2 linked regions of the Lonchura striata genome follow. The protein of the gene in region 1 binds, or shares a complex with, the protein of each later gene. Links are inferred from orthologs where the notes say so. Each region holds a gene or a part of one and is shown on either strand. Other genes may lie near its edges. The genes, in order: AAGAB and AP1S3.

The links.
Region 2: the proteins of AAGAB (region 1) and AP1S3 are in contact, whole or in part, in a crystal structure (PDB 9DDT), measured with the Homo sapiens proteins. The link is inferred for Lonchura striata from reciprocal best matches to the Homo sapiens genes AAGAB and AP1S3. Residues at the interface, in NP_078942.3 of Homo sapiens: Asn51, Lys52, Tyr53, Tyr54, Glu108, Val109, Met110, Ile111, Gln128, Ile132, Gly135, Phe136, Glu137, Asp151, Phe153, Pro154, Glu155, Arg161, Gln164, Ala165, Asn167, Ala168, Asn169, Val170, Met176; in NP_001034658.1 of Homo sapiens: Arg10, Gln11, Lys13, Arg15, Gln37, Leu40, Ser41, Arg61, Tyr62, Ala63, Ser64, His85, Val88, Asp92, Phe95, Val98, Glu100, Leu101, Asp102, Ile104, Phe105, Asn106.

The regions. Positions count from the first base shown.
Region 1 is NC_134613.1:23,172,061-23,187,661, forward strand, and holds the start of AAGAB (alpha- and gamma-adaptin-binding protein p34), read right to left. Parts: upstream 6,919-15,601; 5' UTR 6,898-6,918; coding exon 6,822-6,897; intron 1,218-6,821; coding exon 1,027-1,217; intron 520-1,026; coding exon 423-519; intron 1-422. UniProt on the Homo sapiens protein: May be involved in endocytic recycling of growth factor receptors such as EGFR.
Region 2 is NC_134612.1:9,422,538-9,438,475, forward strand, and holds the start of AP1S3 (AP-1 complex subunit sigma-3), read right to left. Parts: upstream 7,190-15,938; 5' UTR 7,180-7,189; coding exon 7,159-7,179; intron 1-7,158. UniProt on the Homo sapiens protein: Subunit of clathrin-associated adaptor protein complex 1 that plays a role in protein sorting in the late-Golgi/trans-Golgi network (TGN) and/or endosomes.

The sequences.
Region 1 (15,601 bases):
GTGAATGAAGACTTCTGTTAACTCTGGGTTTGACACTGAATTAAGCTGCAGGGACACACCTGCATCTCCCAGCTTGCTGTTGTCTAGAGCCACAGCAAATGTGTCTGCTCCATGTCCAAATGTCAAAAAAATGGCATTAGCAACCAAGTCCTCCCCATTTTTCGCAGCAGGATCGTGCACATCCAGCAGCAGGAATGCCTTTTAGTCCCCCTGCAGTGGCAGGACAGAGCTGACTGAGCAATCTGGTAAAATTCTGACTCGGTTCTAACCACATCCCACTGAAGGTTTCAGCTCCTGCTCCCCAGAGCTCTCCAGGCCACTCTCACCCAGAATCTGAGAAGCAAATGTTGATGTCATTAGAAAGTTAATTATTATGCAGGTTAATGGCTCTGAGTGAGGATGGGAGTTTTTGGGTCTCCTACCATTCTCAGATACTCTGTCACAAACCAGGATCATCACTTCTGGCAGCCACTCTTCTGTCAGGGGCAGCCATTCAGAGACACCCTCCAGTCCAGTTTTCTACAGGGGAAAAGAAAAGTCTTCTTTGGAATACATCCTACAATAGTTTTTAATAGTATTAGAACTGAATTATATAAAGAAATAGGCTTTTTTTGTCTCAACCTTTCTGGTTTCTGCTAAAACAGTTTTCACTGCTGCTGGTTTAGTAGAAACAATTTTGGGTGAAATGCCCTGAATTTAGTTTAGCTCCCTAAATTGTGTCTGTCCCAAAAGAGCCTTTAAGAAGCAGCAGCAGCTAGGAATAAATAAGGAGATGGTGAGCTGGATTTGCCACGGTGGCACAATGACTCCTGAAAAACCCTCTTCCAGCTGGAGGAGAGTAGCAAGAGAGAAGGAAACTGCTGCTATTGTTAGCAGGGAAATTTAATAGTTAGTATTTATTACTGATCTTCTGCCAATGAGTAGAACAGCTTAAAGGGGATGGATGGAGGTTCTGATTTATGGTTCTCACTGTGACAGGGCAGCTACATGAGAGATACAGCAGGAGAATGAAGCAAAGAGCCTTACTGTTGTGCTGTCAAAGTACACAACAAACGCCTGCACAGCCTCGGCGATCTCTCCAGTGACGTGGAATGTGTTTGGGACCACACAGAGGTGGATGTCTGCAGAGTAGTATTTGTTATCTATTGTCCAGGGGTAGAAATTCACTCTTCCACTCGTTATTGCACCCACGGTAAGGTCATCTTTTCCTGTGATACCTGCAAGACAGAAAAAGGGTGAGGAGGAGGGTAAAACCAACAGCAAGAAAATAATTTGTCCAGGAAAGTAGAGTGCCAAAGCAGATCCATCTCTATTATAATAAACCAGTGCATAATCAAGATCTTTAAAAATTCAATTCAATTTGCTATTCTGTCCTAGATTTTATTGCTTAGCTTTCAGAAGAGTTTATGTTCTAGTTTTCAATATAAAATATGGCCCAGAAGCTGCAGAAAGCCTTTTGTTTTCCTGGAAATGCCCTTTCAAGTGTTAACCTCAAACTTAGTATCCGTTAACAGGATGTATGGAGAAGAAACCTAAACTTTATTACAACCCTTGCATGCTCATTGAGATGTAAAGATCTGTTTACCTGTGGCCAAAACCTGAAGGTAACTAATGAGAAAATAAAGCCAATTCCTACAATTCAGCTGGAATTCCCATGAAATTCCATGCAGGAGCTCAAGCATTAGGATCCAGTGCTTTGCTCAGGTGCTGCCAAGCTCTGCCCTCCAAGGTAGGAACCTTCCCAGGAACTCTCCTGGAGCTGAAGCAGAGCATCCCATTATTCCTTGAGGGAAAGGCCAGGAAATCTTGTTCAGGCTGGATGAACTCGTGGGCACTTTAGAACACAAGGTCAATTATTTCTAAAATGGACTGAGTCATCCAGAATTGCCTCAGGCAGGAGAAGAGTTAAAGAATAAAGTACATGGCTTTTCAAGGATTTGTATTTTAAGGTACTGAGAGTTCCTGGAGCTGCTGGAACAGGCTGTTCCAAAAAGTCTGGAGATGAATTTGAATTTATCTGTATCTTATTAGTAAAGAGACAGGAAAACCTCCTTGCCAAGGCTGCAGTGATTTTTACAAGTAAACTGCAAAGCTGAGAAATGGATCTGGTGAATGAGCACAGGGCACGAGGCAGGGAGAGCTGCAAACCAGGATTATTTGCAGCCCTGAGGAGGAGGTGGAATCTGAGGGAGAAATGTGACCTTGGAAACAGAAACCTGTAGCCATTTCCTCTTTAAGAGGATGAAATAGGAGTCTCCTCTCTGGGCTTCTTAAAATAAGAAGTGCCACATCTCAATGACTTTTCCAGGTTCAAGTTTTATTTTATTGTTGGATGGCAATTATTTTTCAGAATATCTGGTCTTTAATCAGATGATATTCCATGCAAAGATTATCCACCTCACTTTGGAGCTGGGGGACAAAGATCTGAGTCACGACCGAACAAACCTGGATTCTGAGCTCTGTATTCTCAGAGGTTTTGTTTTGAATATGATATTAATTTCCCCTTGCTAGTGTTTTGACAGTTAAAAATAAGTAACTAAATTAAAATCAGTCTGAGCTAACAGAATTACAAGTCAGTGCCATAGGAGGTTAAGAACAAAAGGGTGCACAGAAATTACTGAAACCCAGGAAATCAGCAGGAAGACTTAGGGAGGAAAATGGGGTGAGGAAGGAAATCAGCTCTAAAGTCACCTGAGTCAGTCACCCTAACAAGGATACAAAGGGAAAGAACTTTCATAAAAAGTTTTCAAAAGCTGATATGGATTTCACATTTGCTTTGTAAGGGATATCTATTTTAGAAGAGTCCATGGACAAATTTAGGTCTCAAAGCACTGCTAGAATGAGGCCATGTCCCATTTCCTATTATTTGCTACTTGTTCCTGTATTTTAAGGGGTTTTCTTTCATCCCATTGTGCTGCTGATTACCCATCCTTCATGCTGAGGTTTTGCCAATTCCCTGTGAAATTTCTCTCCCAGTAAAAAATGGACGTTGCACACTAAACTCCAAGGGCTTCAGGAACCTGGTGAAAGGATTCAGACCTGCTGTGCTCGGGCTGCTTGTGAAGCTGTAAGAAATCACTGCGGGAAACTGAGCAGTTTGTCAGTTTTCTCCCCAAAAAGTCACTTGGAACAGTTTGGTTTTGGTCTGTAGAGCAAATAAGCAGAGACTACAAAAGAAACATACACTGTAACTCAAACTGAGTTCTCATTTGATGCAGGAATTAGCTTTAAGGGCTGTATTTACCACCCCAGTATTTCAGAAATTTCTTTTCTAGACAGCCTGGATTTGAATGAATACAGGAAATTCAGCCAGAGGAGTTTGGTGTCTAATTCAGGGGGAAATGATGAGAATAAACTCCTAGAAAATTAACATGGCAAAAGGAGGTGGCTTGTCCAGCTGAGCCCTTCTGAGGGAGTTCCTCCTTTTTCATGTGCAACTGCTCAGCCAGGGGATGATCTGAAGCCAGTTTTGGCTGCTCCAGCATCACCTCCTGCAGCCTCCAAAGGCCTGTCCTGCACTGGGCGATTCCCCTTCTTCAGGTGATCCCATGACTGGTTTTGCTCTTTTTGTACCAGAAACCATTAAATAACAAACAGCAGCTGACACACGAGATCAGTTCGTGGCTCAGGAACTGACCCTGCCTGGTGTCACACAGCTCCAGAACTTCCAAACTTCTCTGGAACCTCTCCAGAGGAAAAGGTTTCATTCCTTCCAGGCACTCAGTCACTGCCTTCTGTTTTTCAGCAAGTTCACCAGCTGTGTCCCTTCTTCACTCACAAGTATTTATATATTTTAATAAACCAGACAATAGGTAGGTGTGTATATATATATGTGTATATATATATATAAAAAAATATTTTGGAAATTATTTTCAGCTATTAACAAAAATGTTCCCTCATTTTACTGACTTAAATATTGACATTTAATTTCGTATTTTATCATACAGATAAGATAAATAATCATTTTGAACACAAGCAAGAACATGACAATATTATAAAATCTCACATCCCCTCCCATTTTTAATGCTGAATCTTGTTAAGTCTTCTGAAAGTGCAAATACACTTGAAAAAGGGGAGTTGAAGACCAGAAATAACTTTTCAGAAGAGTTAAATAATCAGAGAATCACATGTAGCTCTCTTGCAGTAGTTCTCTAATACCCAAGTGCTATTTAGTCACTTTTAGTACATTATGTGTCTAATAATAATTTTTAAAATTATTACAATTTCTTTATGCAGGTTTTTTCCCCCGAAGAGATTGATACTGACCACTTTTCATAGTGCTTTTCAGACTGAATTAATGTTTTAAGAACATTATGCCCTAAATGCTCCCAAATCCTCAGCTGTCAGGTACACGGAATGGTTCCCACATTCTGGGCCTTGAGAGCCACCTGGTGGAATAAACCATAAAAAATACTCCTAAAATTACACCAAGGAGTAAAGAGAACCCAAATATGCTGGGGAAGGGGAGGAGGGGAGTGGTAAAAATCCAAAAAGAAAAGGAAGAACAATCACATCGGACAGAAGGAAAACTCAACCAATCTTATTAGCAGTTTTGTGACAAATACATCACAATAACAGGCAGATCTATGTTGAGCACGTTAAATAGCTTTGTTTTGCCACAGTGTCCCATGAATTAAAGCATTTAGAGCACCCTGCAGAAACCTCAACAAATAAAAATGTATCTAGCAAATGTACCCTCAGCTGCTTCTCATCCTCAAGCCATTTTCCATTTAACAGGAGGAAAACCCTGGAAAAAGTCTTGGGATTGGCCTGAAAAGTTCTGGCAGGCTGTTTGACCCCACCAAACCCTCCCCACTGCTGCCCCATCCCTGCCTGTGAATGTTTTACAGTCTGCTGCCTCTGAATCTCACTTGTTTTACAAAGCAAGGATTTAAGATGCTGATTGTATTTATTTTATCCCATTATTTTATTTCTTTCAGGAGGATTTTAATGTAACCCAGTCAGAGGACACACAGACAAGACTCCAGATTTGGAACTGGGAGCAGTGGAAGCTGAGGTATTTCAAAGTGAGCGCTAGTTTAAAAAAAATCTGAGTTTAAATGTTACGACTTCCTCAGATTAAGTAGCTTTTTGCTCACCTGCCTTTTCTACCTGTTTCATTTCACTATGCAAAGTAATCAAAGGGGAAACCTAGAGGAACCTTGAGTAATTCCTTCCAATTTGCTTACACCTTCCTCAAAAAATAAGCTAATAATACTATTTTTTTGGTGTGGAATCTTTAAATAATTCAGTGTCCTGCAGCTGCTTTGACAGAGAAGCCTTGGGCTGAATATCTTGTACTGTTATTTTTATTCCAAAACGTGCTTTAGTGAGGTGGAGGGAGGCAGTTCCTGGGGGCAGCCCTGTGCTTGGTGAGGTCCTAAGTAAGAATTGCTCAGAAAGAGAGAAAAACAAATCTAGAGAAGATTTGAGGGAGTTAAATTCCACATCTTGGTGTGCACAGCAAACTGTTGGTGAACTCCCTAAAAACCAAGGCTGTCCTAACATAGGGAGCTCACCAAGATCCGAATAGCTTCTTCCTGGAATTCACCAAGATCTGAACAACTTCTTCCTGGAATCCTCCGATTTTAAAACTACCCAAAATTCCACCATGGTTTCCTCTACTATCAGATCTTATTCTTGTGTTCCCCTTTTGAGCCATAAAAATGGCAAGTGGTTCCTGGGAAAACTACTTCCTACTTGAATGAGTTCTACCTACTCGGTACCAAATGTAATCTGCAATTCTAGCAGCTGCAGAACAGACACAATTTTTAGCTTTCCCTTTTAATCCTTCCCCACTGAGAAAGCGGTGAATTATTTCCTTAAAGCACTAAGGAAGCTGCTGACACCCTCTGCAAGGGGTCGGGGGCTGCAATCCTCCTGTCCTGAGGGGAGGATTGAGACCCTGAGAGAACTGCGACCGTGAAGGGAAAATGAGAACCTGAGGGGAAATTGAGACCGTGAGGGGGAAATGGGGACCCTGAGGGGAAAGTTGGGACCGTGAAGGGATGGCAGCAACCCTGAGGGGAAAACCGGGTCGTGAGGGGACAGCGGTGACCCTGAGGGGAAAATTGAGACCGTGAGGGAGAAACTGGGACTGTGGGGGGATGGCAGCGACCCTGAGGGGAAAATTGGGTCCTGAGGGAGGAGAATTGACACCGTGAGGGGATGGCAGCGACCCTGAGGGGAAAATTGGGACCGTGAAGGGATGGCAGAAACCCTGAGGGGGAAACTGGGTCGTGAGGGGACGGCGGCGACCCTGAGGTGGGAGGATTGAGACCGTGAGGGGATGGCAGCGACCCTGAGGAGAAAATTGAGACCGTGAAGGGACGGCAGCGACCCTGAAGAGAAAATTGGGTCGTGAGGGAGCGGCGGCGATCCTGAGGGGAAAATTGGGACCGTGAAGGGATGGCAGGAACCCCGAAGGGGAAACTGGTTCGTGAGGGGACGGCGGCGACCCTGAGGTGGGAGGATTGAGACCGTGAGGGGATGGCAGCGACCCTGAGGAGAAAATTGGTCGTGAGGGGACGGCGGCGATCCTGAGGGGAAAATTAGGACCGTGAGGGGGAAACTGGGACTGTGGGGGGATGGCGGCGATCCTGAGGGGAGGATTGAGACCGTGAGGGAATGGCAGCGACCCTGAGGGAAATACTAAGACTGTGAGGAGATAGCAGCGAGGCTGAGGGGAGAACTGCGATCCTGAGGGGAAAACAGCCCCCGTAAGGGCCAGGTCTGGAGGGATCCGCTGCCAGCCTGATTCGCGCGGGCAAGCCGCAGCCCCTGGTTCCGCCCGCTCGGGCGCCGCGGCGGCCCCGACTCACGTTTGACGAGCTCCTCGGGCGCGAAGCCCGCGGCGCAGCTGGTGAGCAGCGCCAGCGGCCGCGCCGCCGCCGCCATGGCGCCCGCGCCGCGCCCCTTCCGCCGCGCCGCTACCACCGCCCGCGGGGGGGACGGCGGGGGAGGGAGCGGGCGGAGCGCGGGCTCGGCCCCCGCTGGATGCGCCGTCCCCCCCTCCCGGCGGCGGGGCGGATGGTGCGGCCCGGCCGGCGCGTCCCGTTGCCGGGCGCGGCGGCGCCGCCATGGCCGGAGCGGGGCCGGCGCTGCCGGGTGGGTTCGGACAGCGCCGGGAGCGGCACCTCCCGCCCGGACCGGCCTCTCCCGCCCCGCCAGAGCCGCCGGGACGCCCTGGGGTGTCCCTCAGCAACCTGGGGTGTCCCGCGGCACCGCGGGGTGTCCCTCGGCTGAGGCGCGGCGCGCCCGGTGCTGCTGTGAGGGGCCGGGCGATGCGCTGAGGGGCAGCGGCGTGAGGGAGCTGTGGGTGCTGCTGCGGGGTTCGGGAGCTCGGAGGTGTTTGTTAACGTAAATAACACGGGTTTGACGTGGGCTGTGCTCTCCTCGCAGGCTGCCTGGAGTTTGTGTCTCTCCTAAAGGGTTTTGAGATCCCCTGCCCCGTGAAAGCACCTGCGTGAGGATACATCATTCCTTAAGCGGAGAATCGCAGTCCTGAAGTTTATTGTCACTGCTTTGTGAGGTTTGTTTGAAAATTTAGTTTTTCCAGCCTTTCTGCAATCAGTGAGTTTAAGTAATTGGCTTTGTAGTCTCTTATAATAGTACAGAACCGTATAAATATCTGCATGGATATTTTTTTTCCCGTATTTAGGAATAATTTAATTTGAATTAAATCCTACCTAACCCCATGGGGTTTGGTTGCAGGTATGATTTTTGTCCCAACTTGCTTTTTAGATTCAGGAAGACCTTCAGAAGCTTAAAATGGAAAAAACTAACGTGAAGGGAAATGCAGAAACCATGGATATTTGTGACCTCAGAAACGCAACTGAAAGGACTGAACTTGGGCTGAGAGTAAGTAAAATAGAGCAGACCTAGAAAATTACTCTGTTTTTAAAGTCTGTGTTAATAATTCACTCAGGCCACTTATTTTTTGAGTTACAAGATCCCTTTCCAATCAGCAGCTGATGAGATTACTCAGACATTACAGTTCAGAATGATGCCTCCCTTTTTGGGTCATCAGAATTAAATGATCTTGGTCAGCCAAAATCAGATTTTTAGTCTGACTGAGACAAAAAGTTTATCAGTTTTTCAGTCAAGCAAAGACCCGGTTGCTTAATGAACTGAGTTAAATAAAATTAATATCCCCTGTATCTTTATAATAGGCTAAAAATAATTTTTTCCTTCACAGAAGCATGCTGAAAATTATTTCAATGTTACAAATGGCCAAGAGTTAACTCTTTCTTCAGCTGGTAATAAAGAAGGGAATTCCAAAGAGCCCCCTAAGTGGTGAGTGAAACAGATGTTTATTGCAGCAAGACACAAAAACTGAGGTGATGTAATCATGTAAAGCAAATGGGAGTATTGACCTAGAAAAAGTTCGTTTAGTCCTTTCCTTTTTCGATTTTAAGTTAAAAAAAAATACAAATGTAAATGCAATTCTAGGTGGCCCCAGCAGTGCTCTGCTAACTCGTGTGGTTAAATGCAAGTTTAAATAGAAATACAGTTGTTTGGGTGGAAGCAGAGTGGGTTTAACGGGTGAAATCCAAGCAATTTTTAGGAAGTTCACTGCCTGTTTCTCTCTCCACCAGGGATCTTCCTTTTGGTGCCTGTCAGGAGCAGCTGGTTCTGCCACCAGTTGAGCCCCTGACTGTGCAGAGGTGCAGCAGATCAGCCCCACGTGTGTGCCAGGGCTCTCAGGTCTGGAACCACACCCTGATCCCTCTGCCAGCAGCCACATTCCAGGAGTGCTTGGTGTCCTGTGCATCCCATAATGCTCTGACTGCCCACAGAGTCAGGGTTTGGTAACACCCCATGGTGAAAGTGTTAAAAAAATCAGCAGAAGGAGCAGCTGAGACAGGAACCTTCTCCCAGCCCAGGATAACATTTAAATGGGGAAAGGTTCCAGAGTCATCCATGCAGGTGTGGAACTGGCATTTCCCACCCAGCCAGGCTGACAAAGCCACTTTTATCAGGTGGTTTTTTATTAATAGTTCCAATTCTTGTGACCCCTGTGTGGCAGTTTTTCTCCCTGCATTGATCATTTCCCTGTCAGCCTGAGTGAGGAGTTTGCACTGGGAATCATCCCTGTTTTAATTGAAAGGTGCTCAATTCCCCCCAATTCCATTTTTTTAATAGCAGCAGCATTTCCTCCCTGCATAACGGTGTGTTATAGTAATAAAATAAATACCACAAAAGCACTGATGAGGTGAAAATTGAACTTTCTGTCTCTGTGCAGCCATGTGGGTAAAAGAGTAATTGGCTTGGATAATAACTTGTGTTCTTACAGCCCCAAATCTAAATGAGCATCTCATTGATACATCTGCTTGTAATTACCATCAAAAGAAGAGAGAATATATAGTGCAGATAGATAAATTAAACCATTTTTACTGCTTTACAAAGTAACACAGTTGTTCAACAGTTCAGGTACCCATCTAATGATTCTTGAACATTTTATGGCATATCTTATTTGTAAAAATTGGAATTTTCTTAGATTTATTTTTATGTTCATACAAAAGAATGTGCACCAAAACATTTTCAATTTAAGAAACTTCTACTGTAGTAAAAACATAGGGCATCCCTCTGTGTTTTATAGGTATGCTTTAGGTATTTCTTATAACAAGAAGAAACTTGTAAAGTCTTTTTCTGGCCATTGGGATTTAAATCATCATGATTTTTATTAGCAGAATAGTCAAACTCATTCCATGCAGATCACAGAGTGCATTATGTTTTAATTCTGATTACTATCAGGCTTTTTTAATTCCTCATTTACTATTAATCAGGTTCTGTGCCTGCACTGATGTATCTATTTGGATAATAGTTCCAGTCCTTACAAACTTTTCCATCTAAACAAAGGCTCTTTGCTGTTTGCCCAGTTCAGTGTGGAGTCAAATAATACAAATTTTTATCATCATTTTGCACATTTACAACATGTTAGCTAGTTTCTGCTTCTAAACACTTCAACCCCAGTGCAGTTATTTTAGGGTTATCCCTATTCTATATTTCAGCAGCAGGTGGAAATGGATTTTAAAATTATGCTTGGCCCGGAGAACGTGGATAATAAAGCTGGTTTAAAACATCCCAACGATGAGACCAGGCTGCCACTTATAGCTAAGAAAAAATCTGCTCCTGTAAGTAACTTTTATTATTTTATGGGTTTATTATATGCATTGCTTTGCACTATTAAAGTTCGTATTTATCAGTCCTAAATAAAATTTTACATGAAAGTAATTTCCTCATAATTTCCTGCTTTTTGACATGGGTATTTAAAGATCTAAACATTTTGGGTGGTAATACTGGGAAAAAGAAATCTGACATGGAACAGGTTTATGTCCCAAGATCCCAATTCAGCAAAAATTTGGATATACAAGGCATGTGCATGGTCAGGAGTGTCAGGAAAATCAGGCAGAGGAGATCAGCTGGAGCTTGGGGACTTCTGGGTGTGACCCAGAGATGCAGGAAAAACTAAAAGTCCATTCTCCTCTCTGCTCTGTGCAAGATGAAGTTTTGATTTTCCCAAATTTCCCTCCTGCAACTGCAAATTTCAGTTCTGCTGCCAGTTCTGCAATTGTTCTGCAGCAGTTGAATGTTAAGATGATATTTTTAGCAAAGAATGCGTTAAAAAAAAAAAAAAACAACCCAAAAGAGAACAGGCACAGCCATCCCTCCAAAAAATCAATTATGTTCACAAATTTAGCACAGCACTGCGGTCCACACAGCCAATGGTTCCCACATGGGGATGCTCTTCTAAAATTTAATTTATGTGGCAGAAACATCCTGCAGCAAGGCCAGTGCTCTAGGAGAGATTCTGGGATGTTTGGTTTTAAACAACATAAAGAGAATCTGTGAATGGCACAGTTGTGAGCTGCCACTTATAAAAAAAAATGATTTTTGGAAAGCTGTTGCCCTGACCTAAGAGGTGATTTGTCTAACCCTGTGATAATAGAGTTAATTAGAAAAAAGCATCATGGCTAATAGCTTTTTAGAACCACTCTAAAACACTCACAGAGAGGAATATTATCCAACTGCAGAGAGCCATGTGTTGTACCACTCTCCCTGAAATATGCACTGAACCCAGCAAACTTATTGGGGATTTAAATTGCAAGCATTTAATGTGAATTACTCAGGCTCCCAGATACATATTTACAGTTACTGAGGAGCTGACAGGCTTAAAAACCAAGCAGATTTTAAAGGATTTTTTTAAGGATTTTTAAGCTGGTACTGATGGATCTGAGTTTCTGGGAGAGCTAGAGAGCAGTAGGTCAGGAAAGGGACAAAGCTTGATTTTTTCCAAATATGTGGCAAACAGTTCAGAGCCATCTCTGGTTACTTTAAGCCTCTCTATTCTCTTCAAAATTTTCCCATTTTAGGGCACAATGTGTGATTTGGGGTGTTCTGCCTTCTCTGGCTGTAAAATTTTTGCAGTTTGCTGTGATACGTTTGTTGTTAAAGGTGGTGTCTACCAGCACTTAAGGAAGGTATTTTGTATTATTATACATGATATATATGATTATTAGTGGTAGGGACAATGAATCTGCGTGCAGCTTCAGGTCTAAAATGCCGTTAATTCGGATGAAATTGAGATTAAAATTTTTCGATTAAATGGAGATTAAATCGCTGCGGAAGGGAGGGGCGGGCGGCCGGCAGGGGGCGCTGTCCGTACGCGCACGTCCCGCGGGTGTCCGCGGGGTCCCCAAAAGAATCCCCGGACAAATCCCCCGTCCCCCGAGTAAATTAAAATCAAACTCCCAACTAATTGCTTGTCTCGAGCCACTCAGGAGTTTTCAACGAGCGGCTGAAAGAGTGGTGAGGTTAAAAAGTCGGGGTTGGAGGTGACCTGAGGGGTCAAGCGCAAATCTACCCGGACTTTTTATTGTCCTGCCATTCCAGTAGCTGGAAAAATTATTAGTCAGGGTTTCATTGTTTCACCAAAAAGTGATGTCTTTTCTTGCTCTTTTGGTATTATAAAGTTGCTGATGCTGGGTTTTATCATAGAAACTAAGAACAATTAACTGTTGCCCTTTTGGACCTTTTTGGGTCTAATAATAATGCTTCATCCTCTGCTAAGTTCTGTAGTTATTTTAAAATGAGGGCTGTAATTCTCTTTGAAACACACACTGGGCATCACTTTTTTTTCTGCAGCCTATATCTGGATGAGAGATGAAAAATGGTGAGTGGATAATTATTAAATATGTATACTTCCCATGGAGTATCCAGCCAGAGGAACAGTAATCTGAATTGCAGCAAAAATAATTCTGATGCACTGCTGCAATGTAGGAAAGATTCACAGCTCTACCTTCTGTTTTCATAGGGCTGCTGTTCTATTACAGAATTATACTGGCACTTTTGGGTCCTTGTTTTCTTATAAATGTATTTTATACTGTAAACTTAGGAACCTTTTCATTTATTCATGAGGTAGAATTTAATATGGTGATGATTTCTAGCCTTTATGAGTTGCATCTTATCTAGTGTGGCTCTAATGGTGATGGCAATGATTCTGGGGCTTTTTTTAAGCTCACTTGTTTGAGCACAACCATTCTAATCACATCTTCAATTATTCATTCTTTATTCAGCATTTGCATGCTGCTAATCATTAACGCTTATCCCTGAAAGTGTATTTATTTTCAAAATTATAAAGCAAGGCAGGGAAATTCCTTTCATTTCAAGTGACTGGAAGAAGTTGTAGAAGAAAACCAGGTCTTTAGGTGGCCCAAAGCTGATTGTGTTTTAAACCCAGACATGTGGCTCTAATTACAGCCAAAGCAGAGTTTGGCAGTGGTGGCAGGATGAGACTTAAACAAATTGATGTCACACTACAGTAAATCAAAAGAAACTCCTTGCATTTTGTATTGCAGCATGTAATCATAATAAGCAGCACGGTGATTGAATAAAATCCTCTTGCCACTAAAAATAAAAAGGAAATAATTGGTGAGAGAGAGTTAAGTTAACAGATGAGTGCAGTCAGCATCCTCTCAACCTGGAAATGGGAATGTGAAGGTCACCCCCATCTCTCCTGACAAACGCAGAACGGTGTGTTGGTAAACAAATTAATCTTTTGAAAGGTCACCATTTGTTTTAAGTTTTCCTCCAGTTCTTGTCATCTGGAATGGGAGATGGAGTGTCATTTCACAAGGCAGGGGTGCAGGCAGAGCTGTTTGTGTGCAGCTCAGCATTCCCTGACAGAACTCCCTGCCTGATTGGGATGCCATGGGCTGCTGCTCGCAGCTGGCTCCGGACAGGAAGGGAGGCTCATCCCTGCTCCCACAAATCCTGCCTGCTGGAAGCTGGCCCTCTGCCCACCAGCAAAACATCTTGTGGTTCAAGGCAGCAATTATCTGCCTCACTCCCTTCTGTGCTGCTGCTGCTGCTGTTTGACAGAGCAGATGTGGGATTCACCAAAGTTCTCCCTTTATTCTCTTTCCCACCTGTTAGGGAGGAATTCTGATGGATCTGGGTTTCTGCTAGAGAGCAGTAGGTCAGGAAAGGGGCAAAGCTTGATTTTTCCAAATATGTGGGAAACAAGACAGTTCAGACCATCTCTGGTTGCTTTAAGAGCTTAGAGAAGGTGAGAATAACACAAGATCTGTTGTTAAAGATGCAATTCCAAATTTTTCCAGTTAAATTTGCCTTCTCTGAGCCCTTTCCTGACAGTCTCCTGAACATCCTGAGACGTGACCTTAGCTCCATTGATTTTATTTTGCTGTGCTTTCTCTTTCCCTTTATAGGGGGAAGTGCTGTGTCCATCAAATCCTGACAGGAACTTCTTAACAACAAATATGACAGCTTGGAGAAGATAGATGGAATGATAAATTAACCTGTTATATCCCTTTTTTTCCATCACTATCAAACTCTGATTTTGTAATATTTACTTACCAAATCTCATGTCTCTGTTCCTGGTTTGGTACACAATACTCTGTAGTAAATCCTCTGTATTTAATACCATTTGTTTTACTAGAGGAAAAAATACAAAGATATTTACCAAAAAAAAAAAAAAAACCAACCAAAAAAAGCTGTTCTAGTTAAATATTGCTAGGTAAAAAGAAAACAAATAGAGAACTAATCAGAAAAATCCCTGTGGTGTTCCAACAAGTGCCCTATTTAAAATGAAGCAAAAAGAAAAAATAAAGTAGGAGAGGTTTATCCACAGGAGAAAAACACTTTAGAAAGGGTAATAGAATTGTTTTTCTTGTGTCCCAGGTTAATTACACTCAGAAGCACTTGAAATGAAAAAATAGTTTTTTAGCACACTCTAAGCATATTTTAAGGCAAGTCAGCCTTGTGCTGCCCTGCAATTTAAGAGCTCACTTCCAGCCCTGCAAAACTGAATTTTAAAAGTTCTTGTGATGAAACAGTGATGTTAGAAGCAAACCTTTATCTTGCTGTACTTAATATTGTGTTTGAGGTCCTATTATAATTGTGTTGGCTTAATTTCAGTGACAGTAACTCCCCAAATGGCAGCGGTTTGGCAGTTTTGCTTGGGTGTCTCCCTGAATTCTTCAGGAGGGAGCCAGTGCAGCAGTCAGGGTGCTGGAAGAACGTGGGAATGGGGAGGGATTGGGTGGAATTTTCCTGGGGAGCTGGTTTGGATCAGCTCCCTGGTCCCACTGTGTTTCTGTCCTACTGACTGATGGCACTGGGCAGTGCAAATGAGAGATTAAATTACATTTCTGTTGCATCAGTCTTTGTTTTAACATCACACCTGCTGTGGATTTTATAGAAATTAAAGGATGCGTCAAAAATAATTCATTATCTATCTCCAATTAAAAAAAAAAAGTTAAAAACCAAGCCTCCAGGCTGCTTTTGAACTCACACACTGCACCTGAACTGCTTTTCCTTGTAGCTTATTACATCTCTATGAACACAATGAAAATAAATATATATTACATGTGCTGTTTATCATAACAAAACCTCATAAGTGGGATTTAAATTAGGATAAAACTGACCAGGAGTAAAATCAGTGCTGCCTTACTGCTACACCAGCAGCAGTCTGGGAGAGGAATCACTGTTTAATTCAATTTCTTGCCTTTTATATATCTTTGTCGTGGCCTCACCAGACTGCAGGGGCTGAGGGTGAGCAGGAAAATGTTGGTTATAATTTCCTTTTCTCAGTATCAAGTCACTTCCATGGCAGCAGGCATAAAGTTAACCTTTGTTCCATGGTTATTGCTGTTTTCTTGGAACACCAGGACATGAGGATTCATCCACCTCCATCCCTTAAAACAGAATGCTCCCCAATGGCCAGAACTAAAATGAGGGGCTGGCTTTGCTCTGAAAGGTTCTCCAGGATGATAAAAAGTACAGATTTTCTCTCCCTTATCTCCCGTGGGCAGTGTTGTTAGACAAAATTGGGAGCAAAGATTAGAATAGTTAATTTTGATCTGTCTCATTTCCCTCCTGAGAGTTCCTTTGCCCTTTCTGGAAAGTTGCTGGGTGCTGTTACTCAATAATTAGGACACAACAGAGCTCCAAGATCCCAATCATGGCTTGGGTTGCACTCAAAGCTTGATAATCACTCATTAAAAGCTAATATTTTAAAGTATTTATTTTTCCTTCTGGTTCCGTGCCTGCGTATGCATTTTATATTTTTAACACTGTT
Region 2 (15,938 bases), on another chromosome or scaffold:
AACAGAGCATAGGTTCCAAAGGTAAGAGCAGCAGGTCAGCAGGAGTCCATCCAAAAGCCATTGAGTAGAGGAAGCAGCTCTTTGATAAACAAATTTCTAAAAATATGGTGAATCATCTGACAGGAGAGGATGAACAAATTTGACTGAAAATGCAGAGAATGAGTCAATGAATCTCTATCAAAACTTGACAGCATGTACAGCATAAGACTGTGAGCTTTGTGGCATCCTTTGCCTGCAGTGCTTCAATAAGAAAATAAAATGAAAAGGTATTCTGGTTTAGGGTCAGCTGATGGACTCAAGAGACCTTAAATCTGAGCGTCTGCATGTAATACATATATATCTGCAGAACTGCAACCTTATGCCTCTAAAAGGTTAAATACCAACAAACCAGGGAATAACTGAATATTTCCACCACTTTCTGCCAATTACATTACTGGAGGATGTCATGCTTCACCTATAGGAAAGTGAGCTGCTCTCCACTCAAAACTGCTTTGAGAACTCCACTGTTTCTTCTACACATGTAGGTGATGTCTCACCACCATTTTTATGAGCTGAGGCAATGTTCTTTGCAATCAGAAAATATCCATTAATGCTTCTAAATGTATGAACATTCATACACAAGCTCCAAAAATCTCATTGTTTGGGTCTTCTGTCCCACACTGTTTCATATGCAGACTGTAACTGCGTACTTCATGTGGCAATTTTATTATTACAGAAATATAGACAGAAAATGCACAATTCTAAATTTTATAGTCCACAGCAAAATAGTGCACCCTCAAGCCCAGGTACATATCACTGGCCAGCTAAGAATTATGTAACAAAACAGCTTATTAGAAAGCTGCAGGTACTTAAAAGCAAAAATATCGTGTGTGAGGTTTCTCCTCTTTTGGTTCTTCTTCCTTTTTCTAATTTCTGAAGCCCCTTCAATTTGGGAAACTCTTTAGGAGGTAAATAATACATTCTTAAAAGGTTAAATGGCTTTTAGCATTTTCAATTTCAACATCCAGTGCTGTTCCATTCAGTTCAGCTTTGCTCTGCCCAGCCCCACTGTCATGACACAACACATTTCTCACTCTCATGGCTCTGTTCATTACATCCCACTGGAAAGACTCTGATGCATCAATAAACCTGATAATATTGAAGTACTGCACAAACACAGATCTAACAGCTCATCTGTTCCTTGCTCCTTGACTGTGAAAACATATTTGCTTTCCTATAGTGCTGATGACAAGATAGATGTTGATTAAGAAATTTTTGGTTCATTTTCAGCAGCCAAACTGCAAAGAGAAGCAGATTACCCTGCAATGCTTTAATCATCTTTAAAAGTTCTAATTCCAGAGGAAAACAAAGGCAAATGACTTGCTACAAGCAGAATACCTTAGAAAGCAGGGTGCTTGGCTCCCTTTCTTACCATCCCAGGGCATGCTGGCTGTGATTAACAATCACCAGACCCAGGGCTGATGCCAGAGGGAATTTTTAGGTCCAAGACTGAGTGAGTTGAGATGAAGAGTAAGTTCCTAAGAGAGCACTGGTTTCCTTCACATGTGGAGTCTGTGGAGACAAGCTTTAGTCTGGGAGCTGAGAATAATTTTATTAGCTTGTTTTAATGAATCAGACCCAACCACCCACAGCACTGTGCAAAATGACCTCCATAAACATCAGTAAATAGTCCAAATGACTGCATTTTTTATTTGTAGGCTATTGGAAAAATAGTTTTTGGGGTTATTTTTTAGATCAAACATTTAAACATTTAAACATTTAAAAATTTCTAAGCTAGAACTCTATCCCCTTCTTGTGCATTTATGAATCAATTGCAGCAGAAAGTTACTTAACAGATTGGAAAGTTATGGGGCCTTCTGTTCTATCAAGATTTACAAAACTGTACCAGGATAAAAACCAACACCCTTAGTTTCAGGGCTATTTAAAAAAATCAAATGCTAGACTTTAACATAAAATAATTTACCAATAAATAGAATAGACATCAAAAATGCAAAATACAAAAGGTTTACATATTCATGAGCAGCAAATACGAGAGAGCTAGATGAAATAACACACACTGTGATTTCCTTCTACCTTCTTTGGGAGACCTTTCCCTCCTTTAACTAATGGGCTGTAACAATCTGATAAGCAGCTCACCCAAGCTTGTCTTCTGGACTGCTCCCTGCCAGGACTGCAGGTCCCCTTTGGTGCAGCCTTCCCCACTGTTTGGCCATTACACACTTCAGACTGATCAAACACATCACAACTGGCTCAGTAGTTTCAAACTTGGATCATTTTTGCCTTTACAGAGGGTTTAAAATTTAACCTAATCTGCAACAATTAGTACAACTGTCTAAAGGGCTGCATTCCACTACATACACAACAAGCCACTTGCAGGGGTAGCAGATAAAAATGAATACATGAGAAAGAGACTTTCCTAGAGCAATTTCTCCAGTTCACTGTTTAATAACACCAACATGTAAAAGATGTCCCATTTCCTCCTACAAGGTGATCTCCAGGGGTGTGCAAGAGGCTCTAATTCACCCCACTGTGAGAAAGAACAAGCACTAGAACTGCTGCTCCTCTTCCTGTAATCCAACCTGCATAACATGGGCTGACCGGTTCCAAACCTGTTCTGTGGCATCTGGCTTCACCATGTCCCCGGGGGAGGAGAGGGGAACTCATCAAGGAGCCTCAGGGGAGGGAAGGCAGAAGAGGAAGCCTGCAGAAAAAAGAGCAAGAATCCCCTTTCCTGTCTGGGTGTGTGGCTGGGCAAAGATTTACTTTGTGAGGCAGATCTGTCACTTCAGCAGCTCTGGGCTTACACTCTGCTTCAGCTGGAACCTCTCCAAATTCGGTTAAGAGCCCTCCAAAATCAAAGCCACCTTTATAAAACAGACACCTGAAATTCACAGGCAAGTAAAATCTGCAACTTAGGAATTGCTATCCTTGAACAGACATCTTGGCAGAGCAAGGAAACTTTCAGCTTTCCTTAAAAACTTTCTGTAGGACAACAGACAATACAAGACATGCTAATCAATGAAAGTTCCCACACCACATAAAATGGGATGTGGGATGAAAATCCAGACCTTCAGCTGCCAACAGAAGCCTGGGGAAAACCAGCCTGACTGGCTGTACCTGGTGGAGAGGAAGCTACTTGCCATGATAAAGTTCTTTTTTAACTTAGTCTAATTTCCCTGAAGTCTGCTTGATCTGCTGCCACTGTTTTAGTCTAATGGAGTTCATATTCTGCTTCTCTTTTACTATTTTTCATTCTTTCCTCTGATATGAAAGAATCTATTTCCCAATATAGACAGCTGTCCAGATGTTTTATCAGTATTTATTTGTACAACACAACTGAAAATGAACAAAACCTACTTTCATTAAATTTTCTCTTTTAAAAAATATGAACATTCACATTATTCCAGCCATTAGCTTTTTTTTTTATCTCTAAAACATTTCAAGAATAAAAAATTCCTTTTAGTTTTTGCTTTGTTCAGTGAGGTGGGTTTTTTGTTTTGTTTTGAAGGTGGGAGGAAAGTAAATACTGAAATTAAAAAAAAAAAATAGTGAACACAGTTGGTTTGGAATGCCAGGTGTTTAGGGTGAAATGAGAAAGATGCACTGAACAGACCTATTGACCTATTAGCAATCTACCCACATCAGGACAAGACAGTATACTAACACATTCAGGTACAGGTATTTTGGTATTCTGCTGTTACATGAAATCCCATCTGGCTACTGACCTTTAATAAACACTCTGGGGTTTCAGACACTTCTAAAGCAAATATGTAAAATTCAAAACAGACTACTTTATTAAAAATATTAATTTCCTTACTTGTTTGCTCTGTCACTAAAGCATTTATTCACAGCAGCACAGGAGCTGACAGATGTTTGTTAAACACTGTTGGCTCTCAGCTTTAAAATTTCAAACACGTACTTAGTCTGCATGATGTAAGCAAATAAGAAAAAAGAAAATATACACAGACCCAGCAACACAGAAATTCTGAAGCAATGTATTGCTGCCTACCTGGCACAGGATTCTTCCTCACTTAATCTCCATTAGGAACATTTCTGAGCAATTTCCCCTGAACAATACATCCAAAGTCCATGCAATAAAAGCTGTGCCAGATCATTACAGGCACACGTGACCATAGTTACACATTGATTTTATGCTTTTCATGATGCAGAAGTCACCCTTATCTTATTACAGAAGATTTAAATGGACCAGCACACTAGCATTTTAAGGATATTTATAACATATGCTATCAATCCAGACAGCAACAACCTTCTTGATAGCCTCACTTGAGTTAAATAAAACTATAATCAAAACAGTATAGGTGAGCTCAAGCTGCTCACTCCTGACCCCTAACTAAGAACCAGAAAACAAAGCTCAAGGAGTTTTCTCAGTGCCCAAGCTTCTTCTAGCTCTGTTCCCACTTATCTCTATAGGAGTCCTCACCTTGGCTCATCCCTCACAAACTGGGTGGCATTCCTTCACCAGTGAATCCATTCCTCCCTACAGCACAGGCATGGGCTGGTGACATTCCTGCCCAGTGTCCTCCCTACAGCACAGGCATGGGCTGGTGACATTCCTGCCCAGTGTCCTCCCTACAGCACAGGCATGGGCTGGTGACATTCCTGCCCAGTGTCCTCCCTACAGCACAGGCATGGGCTGGTGACATTCCTGCCCAGTGTCCTCCCTACAGCACAGGCATGGGCTGGTGACATTCCTGCCCAGTGTCCTCCCTACAGCACAGGCATGGGCTGGTGACATTCCTGCCCAGTGTCCTCCCTACAGCACAGGCATGGGCTGGTGACATTCCTGCCCAGTGTCCTCCCTACAGCATAGGCACAAGCTGGTGACATTCCTGCCCAGTGTCCTCCCTACAGCACAGGCTTGCCTGTGCCTCCTCCTCACAGGCTGGGCTGTCCCACCAACAGGGACAGACTTCTTGCACTGCTCTGGAGAGCAGAGGCAGCACAGATTTCCAAAACAGTTCCAAAGGGGTGGATGCAGGCAATGGCATCCAGGTTTTACGGAGGATAATTACTCTTTATTTTCTTAAATTTTTATTCCTGCAAGTGGAATTACTGCAGTTTTCAGGTAATAAGCAAGCACAGACCCAGGCTGGAGTTTGCCTCAGGCTCTGCCATAGGAGAGCAGGCCAGGGAAGCAGCCACACCACTGTCCCTTCAGTGTCACCACAAGACACATAGCAGGGATGTGAGCCTGCTGAGCTCACAGAAAGCAGCAGTTTGAAGAGATTTGAAACAATTATTAACTAGGTAATCACATCCCTTCTGCCTCCTAGGCTGGGCTCTTAGATGTTTTTATTTGCTTACATGATTTTGGGAGGCAGAGGACCACTTCACTAGGTTTCTACAAGGAGGAAAGGACCAGGGGAGAGGCTGAACAAGCTGCTGAGAGCTACCCCTAATTCACTACAACCCCAGTGCACTTTACAGGCACAAGAAGCTATTTTTCCAGCCTGCTCCTTGAACTCCAAGTGAAGAAACAGAGCTAAAATCTCACTCAGTGGATTCCAGCAAAAGGTTTCTCTTTTAGTTTCATTTCCACTTTGTCTTATCAGTTATTTACTGGGCTTTCCCTGCTACATGAAGGCACTGCAGTGCCCTTCCCTTGCCTCTGACCTCTCCAGGAGCAAAGTTAAAAACCTTTGCTCTGGGACAGAGCAGGCACACACAGATGGTGACAAGCTAACCTGGCTCCTCAGGCAGCTGAGCACTCCAGCCTGGCAATTCCCGTGTGCAGATTGAACAGTGCATATTGGCAGCAGCCTCATACCCATTCCTCCAGTTCCCAACAAAGATGCTCACAGAAAACCTGAGCTCCAAAACGACTAAAGATACATATGAGCTGAGATCATGTTTACAACTCTGAAAGAGCACAGAATAATCTTTTGGAAACACTGAAGCATTAAACTTAGGCATTTTCAATTGAGAAATTCTCCATTCTCCCTTTTAAAATGGCATTTTTTCATTAAGGTAAAAACTAACATGGATTTAACCTAAGTATAAACATAAAAGAAGCAATCACTGTTTACAGAAGCAAGGGCCAGAGCAGAAAATCTTCCAAAATGCTTTATATGTTGATCCAATATTTAACCTGTAGAATGAGAAAGGATCAAAAATTCATTCTGCTATTTCTCCCAAGTCCTGTCATGAGACTTCAAAGAAAGGAAATGCCTGGGGTACTGCCTCTTTCCCATTCCATCTCCTGAGCCCAGGGGCTGTTGAGTCTCATGCAGCACTTCCCACAGCTTCCCTGGAGCTCAGAGCACACAGGCACTCGCCCAACACCCCACCTGCTCTCCTTCCAGCACACAGCCTTGCACAACAAAGGCACAACATGGTACATTTCTGCATTTCACTCAAACAAAGAGTCTATTTTTCATTCCTTTGTAGTTAGTGCCCATCACTTACCCCAGGGGGCTAAGCAGAGGATGGTGACCACAGAGCTCCTGTGCTGATTAACAAGCCACTGAGAACTGCTTGAGTGTCTGAGCAAAACTATCCCCAAGCTCCAAAAGCAAGGCAACAACAGGCATTTACTGGTTAGTGAAGAGGGATTTTAATGCCCTCCTTAACAGAGGAGAGCAGATGGATATCCTACATAAACTCAGCAAGCTAGAGAAGAAAAAAACACTGGTGCATGGAGTACCTGGGGTTGTATCTGTAATACTGAGAAACACACATCAGGACATTCCAGGTCAGACAGGCACGCCAAGCTTGCTTTCAAACACGCAAATGTAAATTGCACCTTTACATCCTAACCCAAAGCCTTTACATGCTGTATTCCTACTCCCAAATGATGTGCCATGCTTGCAGGACAGGATCTTGCAATTCCCTCTCTACATTGCAACATCTGCAGAAATGCAAAGGCCCAGGAGTGGCACTCAAGAAAGCACAGAGCCAACTCAGCCAAGAAAATGCAGATGACAGCCTGCAGGAATAGGACAGTAGGAAATGAAAGGGCAGGAATGGAAATCAGTAACAGGGCACATGTGATAGAATTCTTTTCACACAAGCAGTATTGTTTTAATTTAGGCATCACTAGCAAGACCATGACTGGCTCACAGCCTGATGTGGATGCCAAAGCATAAATCTTGCAGGTGCTTGAGGGAGGGGTAGCTCTATCTGCCCTCCCTGACTCACCAGTTTCCTCAGTGCTTTCATCACTTTGTCCTTTTGCAGCTCTTGCAGGTAACTGATGGCTTCAGAAAGTCCATGGGATCGTTTATAAAGCATGGGATTTTGGAGCAACTAAAGACATGGAAAAGCAGCAAAATCTGTCATTTTCTTGCCTCATGACAGACCCAGCTGCCCATTATCCCTGCAGCCTTCTTCCTGCATTTGCCATCCCTAAATGCTTTCTCTAAAGCCCTCTAGGCATCCCACATCCTAGTAACTCCTGGCTCTGAAATGCCTGCAGTATCTTTATTTCTGAGCAAAAGATATATTTTTTTTTTAAAGAAAATATTGTTACACTGCTGATTATTAAGCAAATAATGAGCAGATTGTCTTTTTTTTTTTTTTTTTTTTTGCTTTTCAGGAATGAGCTTAATATCCAGGGATAGTAAAGCATGAATGGCAATTCCTACATGGCCTGAGCAGGCTCCAGTATTAAAAAGTGACCATCTGTAATGGTCATGGGCACTCGGAGAAAGAACATCCAAAACTGGCAAGTCAGAGATTACACACTTCCAAAGAACTGTAAAAACATTTTTCCTCACAAATCCCACAAAACATTGTTCTGAAATCCAACTGAATGACAGAGAGTAACAGAATGCCAGATCAGCCCCTGAACTGTACTCTCATCTAAGCAGCTTCCAGAAGGACACAAGCATAAGGAACAGAGCATGTGTAAAATCATCTGGTAGTCCCACCTCCAAAAATCAATAGGTTTAAGAATTATGGTACAGAAACTGCATGCAAACAACCCACTTGTGGCCCCACCCTCTATGTAAAGAGGGTTTACTGGGACACCCACAGCACGCTCAGCAGTGGACCGAAAACAGTCATCTACACTGTGTGAAAAAGTATTCCCATTTATCTTTTATACATTTAGTGACTAAATATTTTACAGGATGTACCCTGATTCTTTGTAGAGCAACCAGTCTTCAAGTGTTCATGATTTCATGTGTTTCTATCACTTCCCCTGCAGTCACCCCTTTGCAAGCAGAAAGTCTACAAACTCAGGATCTTCTACACAGGATGCCATTCCATTGCCATTATGTACTACCATAGTAAAAACTCACTACAAGACAAATCAACAAAGAAATACCACATGAACTTTTTTTTTTGTCATCTAGTATAAGAATTGCTGCCTCCAACAACACACTAATTTATTTGTCATTTTCTCTCCTCTCATCTGTTCTAATCTGTTGCCTTCCTTGTCTTTCAGAGGTAAATGCCTAGAGGCAAAGTTCATTGTCCTCCTGCGGCCAATACACAGCTGTATCATGAGTGGAAAATAAGCAGTCATTCTTAGAACTGTAAATAGTAAATTCTGTGCAGCACTGAAAACATCTTTTGCAGATCTACATCCATTTTCACCATTAAGGGCATTGAGAGTGTTGATGATCTCAATATTCAGAAGAGCTGAGAGTTCATTTCCAAACACCAGGGAGGTGTCAGCAGCAGTCACATCAACTAGTATTTCCACCCCAGCTTCTAGATCAGTGACTGGTTATCAAAGTCTTGCTAAGTGGAAACAGTGCTTGCCAACTCCTTTTCTATTCAGGCCAAGTACATTTTTAGAGCAACGGTGCTCAATGGGATTCTTTTGATCTTTCTCCAGGGTTTCAGATCAAGCCCACAAGTACTAATTTGTCTCCCTGTAGTGATGAGCAGCACAGGTAGGCGGGAATCAGACCCTTTACTACACAGGCACCAATTCTGAGCAGAGCTATGCAAGCAGAGCTCTGTATGTATTCACAAAAGTAATCCTGGTAACACTGAGGCAGCAGTAGGATCGAGGTGTTGCAACACTTACAGGCACAAGAGACTAACAGTAACACATGTCCTTGGGGAGACTTATCTTTTTCTCCTCTGTGCTCTCTCCCCACTCTGTTGAGACAGCAATCCTTCATAACATGTATCTCTGCTGCACCCACATATATCAGGAAGCAGAATTTAGTCTTTCTCAAAAGCAATTTAAAAAAAAAAAAAAACAAACATGTCACAAAGCACAAGCTGGTCATAAAAGCTGTGTTTCTTAGCTGGATATGAAATCAGCTCTGCTGAACAGACTCTTCCCTGAAACTTACCTGGAAATCTGCAGAGAGCAAACAATTGGAACAACCCTCTTGCTAAGACATGGCACCATCTGCACAAGCACCTTTAATTCCACCTCAAAACACAGAAAAAGGTGGCAAGCACAACTTGGAAAACAGAGGAACCAGTCTATGGAAAATTTCAATGGCCTGTGTAAAGTTCACCACTCATGAGCCTGGATAAGGCTTATTCTTGGTTTATAAACCAGCAAACCCTTTTTCCTTGACTCATAAGCGAGTGTTAACAACCCCTTTCCAGAGACTAGATGACAAGAGGAATTTAAAGCTAGAGCTCCCTGACAAAAGCATTGTTTCATCAGCACCAGATCCTCAAGAGAAGAACAGGGTAAGGCTGACAGCACTAATATGATGCAGTAACACCAGCAAGTGTTTGTACTATGGCCTCAAACAAAAAATAAAAATAAAATTCTTACTTGTAAAAATGCACACTCACCTTGTAAAATTCTAACTATCAATACAGCAGCCAGACTCCAGATCATCAATAGCAGCACTCTTGTAAAAGCAGTGCTCCCCTGGGACTATCGTGAGTGCTTTGAAAACTGGCATTTGTGAAGTACCCGCATCAAGGAGAGTTCGGAGATCACATTCCCTGAAATCAGCTCCCATATTAACTGACCTTCAAGGGCAAAATAGGAACTCCAGTTGTTTACATAAGCTTTACCAAAGGGAACTGGGTATGTAGGGCTATCTCAGGGTGTAACCAGAAAAGTCACATCTCTACAGGGACTTAAGGTGTGGAGACTGCGTTGCCATTTGTAAACTCATTACTGTGCATATTCTATTTGCAAATATAATGACAGGTACACCTTTCTAAATACAGGAGACTAACACATATTTAGCATTCTGGCTAAACCACTGAAGAGAAACAACACAGCTCTGCCTTTGAGGATAGAGACAAACAACAGCGCTTGGCCTCCACTGAAGGAGTTGAGAGGCTTCTGTTCAGCTGCACTGCCAGCAACTGGTATTACAGGTGCGCACAATGGGCAAATTGTGCAAGACAGAAGCTCGGGGCATGCCTGTAGAACCTGCCTCAAGCCTGAATTATCAAGCAGTGAGATGGTTTCTCTATTAAAAGGCATCACTGACCACCTCTACTTGGGAGCCTGCAGTCCCCTCTGGGGAAAATCTAGCTATTGTACTCCGATGTTGGCCATCATTCTTAACAAAAGAGAGCATCCACAGCACCCCTTTCTGATCACAGCAAACCAGCACCAAGCGCAGCACTGGAGAGGCGAAGGCTCTCCCTTCCCGGACCCCGTCCGTCAGCCCTTTAACCTGAAGGGCTGCTGCCCCTTCCCAGCCCTGGAGCCGGGTCGCACGGTGCCACTGGTGACCGACAGAAGGTTCAGAACCAGACCCACACGCTCTCGCTGGTGCGTTCGTGAGCCGATGGAAAGGCGCAGCCAAATCCCACCAAGCCCCATCAGAGCCGGCCGCGGTGCAGCAGCACCCGGGCTGGAGGCGGGGCTGCAGTGCGAGCCCTCCACTTACCTGACAACAGGGAACACAGCCGGGGAAAAGCTCTTCCCAACGATCCCGCACAAGAAATCCCACCGCCCTACACTGACCGCCGCCAGTCAGCCTAAAGACAGACAGACCCACAGGAAACCTCATCGATCCTTCTCCCGGCACTGGAGCCGACTCGCACCTCAGCTCCTCGAGTTACAGGAAGACTTTTAAAAGCCCCTCTGTAGCAGCCTGCCTTCCCTGGTCGTCTAAGGCAGGCTCTCGGCGTGACCCGAGCTCATCCCGAGGGTCGGGAAACAAAACGGAAAAGAAGAGGGCTTTCATTTCCCCCGAACAGGTGCGAGCCCCGCTCGAGCCCGCCTGGGAGCGGCTCTAGCGTGCGGCGCGGCCGGTGCCGAGGCAGCCCCGCTCCGCCGGCCGCGCTCCGCGCCCGCCCAGGGCCCGGCTGCCCCGGCCCGGCCCGCTCACTCACCATGGTGCGGCGGCTGGCTGGGAGCCGGCCCGGCCCGCCGCTCCGGCCCGCCCGCCCCGCTCAGGTGAGGCCGGGCCGCATCGGCTTCCCACAATGCCCCGAAAGGAACTCGCGGCGCTCCTCCCGCCGCCCGGGCAGCGCCGCGGGGCACGGGCCGGGCGGGGCCGGCCGGCGGCGGGGCTGCTGACAGCCGCGGGGCCCGGCCGCACCTGCGGCTCGGTGAGCCGCTCCCAGGGCGCCTGTCTCACCTCGGCAGAGCCGACACCAACAAAACGCACTTCAGGTCATCCCCCGTCAAGCGTCCATGCCCTAAAGACACGAGTAGATCTACAGGCATGATTGCTCTGCTGCCCATCTCCATCAAAATGGAACTCTGATGGTTTAAATACCTTCACAGTGGCTGGGCTTGGCTCACCGGTGCTTTGTGATGCAGCTGAATGAGAGGGCAGGACATCAGTAAATCCCCGTAACCTGTGGCAGGGATTTGCTGATAAGCAGCTGGTGCCAAAAGAATGTGCAACATCCACACACTCAGCACTTGAATCAAAAGATCTAAATCCAGGCCTAAGGCTTCTCAATTCTACGAGGAGTCTGATCCAGATACAAACTACTGCAGGAGCATAAAGTGCTTAAGTCCCATGTCTTGTAGTCCAAAGGAGAGACATCTCCCAGAGCACAGCATGCATCAGTTCAGGATATGGATCCCAGCTGCACAGGCAGGGGAGAACTGTGCCCTGCTCCTGGGTGCAGTGGTGCATGTGAGCTATCAGTGAGAAAGGCAAAGAAATGCAAAGGCACCTGGGGACTTCAGGGATCCCTGTGGTGTCAACAACAACCCTTCTGCAGCCTCTGGCTTCAGAGAAGGAAGAGAGATCCCTGGCTAAAAGCAATTGTGCATGTACAATAGAGAGGGCAGTTGGGCTGAAACCTGCTCCCATTTGGAAGCACAAATTTGCAAGAGCAGAGTGCAAATGCAGGTGTGTGCTCCTTATGCTCGTGCAACAGCGTGGAGGTAATTTCCACATTTTCCCAACTGTGCATGACTCTACTCTGCTCAGCCCTCCCTAAGTTTTGGGTTGGTCTATACAGACACACTGTTCCTGGAGTCCTTCACGGCTGCTTGCTGAGCTGTGGTTTCTGCATCTTGCAGCCCCAGCCCACCAAGCAGCACGTGGCACACTGTGCTGTGATGCTGCCGGCTGCCTAGTGCTCTGCTTTCACTTCTGGAGTGCACCACACACACAAAGTGCACGGCCCAGCTGCCCCACAGATCTCAGAGATACTCCATCTGCTCACTGCCCTGGCCTCTGCCCTTCCCGAGTGCACAGCCCGCGCCCATAAAGCAGCACTATCTCCAAAGGGCAGGAACATCTCACACTTTGTGCTGTGGGGTGCAGCACATACCCTGCCGTGCTGCCAGACAGCACGGGCCTCACTGGTTTTTTACTGGGGCACCACCTTGCCTTCAGTGAGCCTGCCAAATACATACTTAGTACAATCAGAATCTGTTAAAGCAGACCAAAACCTTTTACCACATTCTCCAAAAGACACACAAAGTGCCACAGTACCCATACCGCCTCTCCCAGGAGATGTCTGCCTTCCCCATAACCATGTTCATACCCCTGTCCCTTGCACCCCCAGCTCTACCTGCTGTGGCCTATGCAGAACAGGGGCTGACCTGCACTTAAACCCCAAACACTGCCTTGGTGAACGGGCAGTGCTCACAGCACTGCAGCTCTGGGAAAGCCAGGTCTCAGGGAACACTCAGAACTGGATTTGCCTAACACACAAGAACGTGGACACCACAGTGCAACAGATGTGAGGCATCAATACTTCCATCTCCAAAAGGAATTTAAAATTAAGGGATGAACATACCCCTGACTCCCTACCTGTGTAACTTACTCAGGTGATGGGCAATAATATTTTTTTGCTTAACAACTGTTCCCCTATAATTTTATTTTCCTATGCAAAGATCTTACCTAATTAGGCCATAAACTCAAGAGAACCAGCCTGCTGCTTGTGTGTTTTTGCAAGTAATCAGAAAAAAGCGGCAGCAGCAGCAAACACCACATGGATAGAGTGAACATTAAGAACAGTAACCAAAGTCAGCCTATTATGGCCAATCTTGAAAGCTGGCAGAGAGAAGCCCTATAGAAGCCTGCAGATATAGGATCATGCCTAAATTAGATCCTTTCCAGCTCAGAAAGCCAGGCTGCACTTAATGACTGCCTAACTAGCCATGGAAAGGACTTGGAATTCTCCCCTCCCTGTCTCTCTTCCACTAGCACTGTGTAGCTGTATAATTTTCTTATAAAGAAGATAACCATCAGTAGTTCCTAGCTGGGAAGTTTGAGCTATTAATGTCACTCAGCAGGGGGAGGCAGCTGGGGCACACAGTTGTGCCAGGTGAACCAATGGGGTGAACTTATGCCAGTTAAATGCCACAACATGAGCTCCTTCCAGCGCTTCCCTTAGGCCCAGTTAGTTAACTTGAACATGAATGTTTGCAAAGTAATGCATATTTATTTCTCTAATTCAAAACTGCTGCAAAAAGCAGGTTTGAGACCCTTCTTTTTTGGCTTCCTTTTCTGCATGGAAGGAGTATAAACATTTTCTTTCTTAAGGGTTCTTTGAAACAGGCTTTAAAGAGAGGCAAGGAGCTTTTTACTGCTTTGGCGTATTTTATCCTCTTTGCTTATATTCCACTCTCCTAGCAGCCTGTCATATTCAGAAGTAGAAAACACTCACACCAAGAGTTACAGTGGATTCAGTGAGCCTTGAGTGCCTACACCTGATGAAAAAACTTCCCTAGCTCCTAAGCAGCAGTTTTGGTGGCTCTGGGCATTATTTATGTGAAAAGAAGCCATTGCTAAAATGTCAGATGCGTAAACCTGCAACAGGCTTTGTCTTGGGTCCTCCTAATCTCTGCAAGCTTTGTGTATTTCCGAAGCTAATCCTGAAACATATAAGTAAAGCTATATATTCACAATGATTTACAATTAATTGGGAAGTTATTTTCCTATGCATTTGAAGAGAAACAAATCCTGTCAGCTTCAATTAAGAGACACAAACTACTGTCTAAAGAACAGTAGGGAATTAACAAAATCTAACATGCTCGCTTTCTTGGAAACAAAACTGCACAAGCTTTCCTTCTGGAAAAACCCCAAACTATCCTTTATTGCAGGAAGAAGTCTTTTCACTGACACTGAGTACCACAATAAATGAGACAGAACACTGAGCACTTATTCTGATTCTAGCCAGCAGATGCTTTGGTGTCGTTTTTCAGCACCTGAACTGAGCTCACAGACTCCTTCAGGTAAGTTGCCCTGTGCAAACCAAGGAGTTGAGGCTGATGAACACTCCACTTGGTGATTTTATAGGAGACCTGCTGCGCAGGTTTTTAACCACTAGATACTAGGTCCTTGGGGGAAATAAAAAAACTTTAAAAGCCCAATTTAAATTCAGCTGCAGGAGGTAGCTTTTAACTGCACTTCGGATCAATAGAGAAGCAACCTAACACTTGCACTTGGTTACTAGGCAGGGCTTGTACTTTTCCAGACTGCTTTTCCTATGTTGCCTTTTCCTTATTTGCTCACTAAGTCTGGATTCTCCACAATTTAAGTGCAGAACAAAGCATTCATATCACTAGAGCGCGTACCAAATCATGTACCTGCGCCACAGATGTTGGTACCTTATCAGCAGCAACACGTTCAGTAAGTAATCCCAACATTTATAAAGTATTAGAAAATATTAAAAATAGCAATCCAAATAATTATAGTCTGTTCTGAAGTGATAGGTGTATACAAGCACTTAAAGGGTCTCAAGTAGCATTCCATTTCATTTCCCAGCTTTAAATTAAAAGCAGGCCAAAAGGTAAACAGGCATTACAAAAGCTCCATCAAGAACATTTTCAATCCAAAACTTGCTCTTGTAGCCCTCTTGTGTTCAGCTGGATTAACAGCTATTACAGCCACAGCATCCTTCCTTATCTTCCCAAAATCACAGCTCTGCATGCCTTAACCACACTGCCAGTCAGTTCTTTGCCCTGTACACCTTCACTCAGTTTCTTCCATGGTTTTCCTCTTTCCATCCTGGTTGTAAAACTAAAACCCATTCAGGCTCCTGTGCTTGCAGGCAACCCATGCTCCTGAAACAGCAGAGTGCTCAGTTGGTGTATTCATACCATAAAACAGGGAACCACTGCTTTGCAGTAGGACCAAAGCACCCCTTATTGCCTGTGAGCATGCTGATATTCCCAGCATTTCTTCTCCATAAAAGGACTGTAATGAACACAATTTACAGCCTTGTTTCTCTCTTTCAGTTAATGCCTGTGAGTTCAAGTTTTAAAGAGTGTCCCACAAACACCATTTAGACATGTGCAATTCTCTACCCTTGCAGAAATCACCCTGACATTCTCCAAACTCTGACTATGGACAGTTCTGTTTATTCCACACCTTCCTTGTCAATCACCAAGTTATGGCTGCACTACTCTGGGTGCCTAATGGGATGGAGCCATGTAACTGAGGATAAGGAAATGGGTTGTTTCCTAAACCACACTCACCTTCCATGTCTGCTGCCTCAGCCATCCTTCATTCAACCACTGCAAGACAGATCAGGAGGCTCGGGTGAGCAGGGCAGTTGTGCTTCAAGAGCTGCTTTCGCCTGTCTCAGGGAGCCAAACTCCACCATGGATGTGC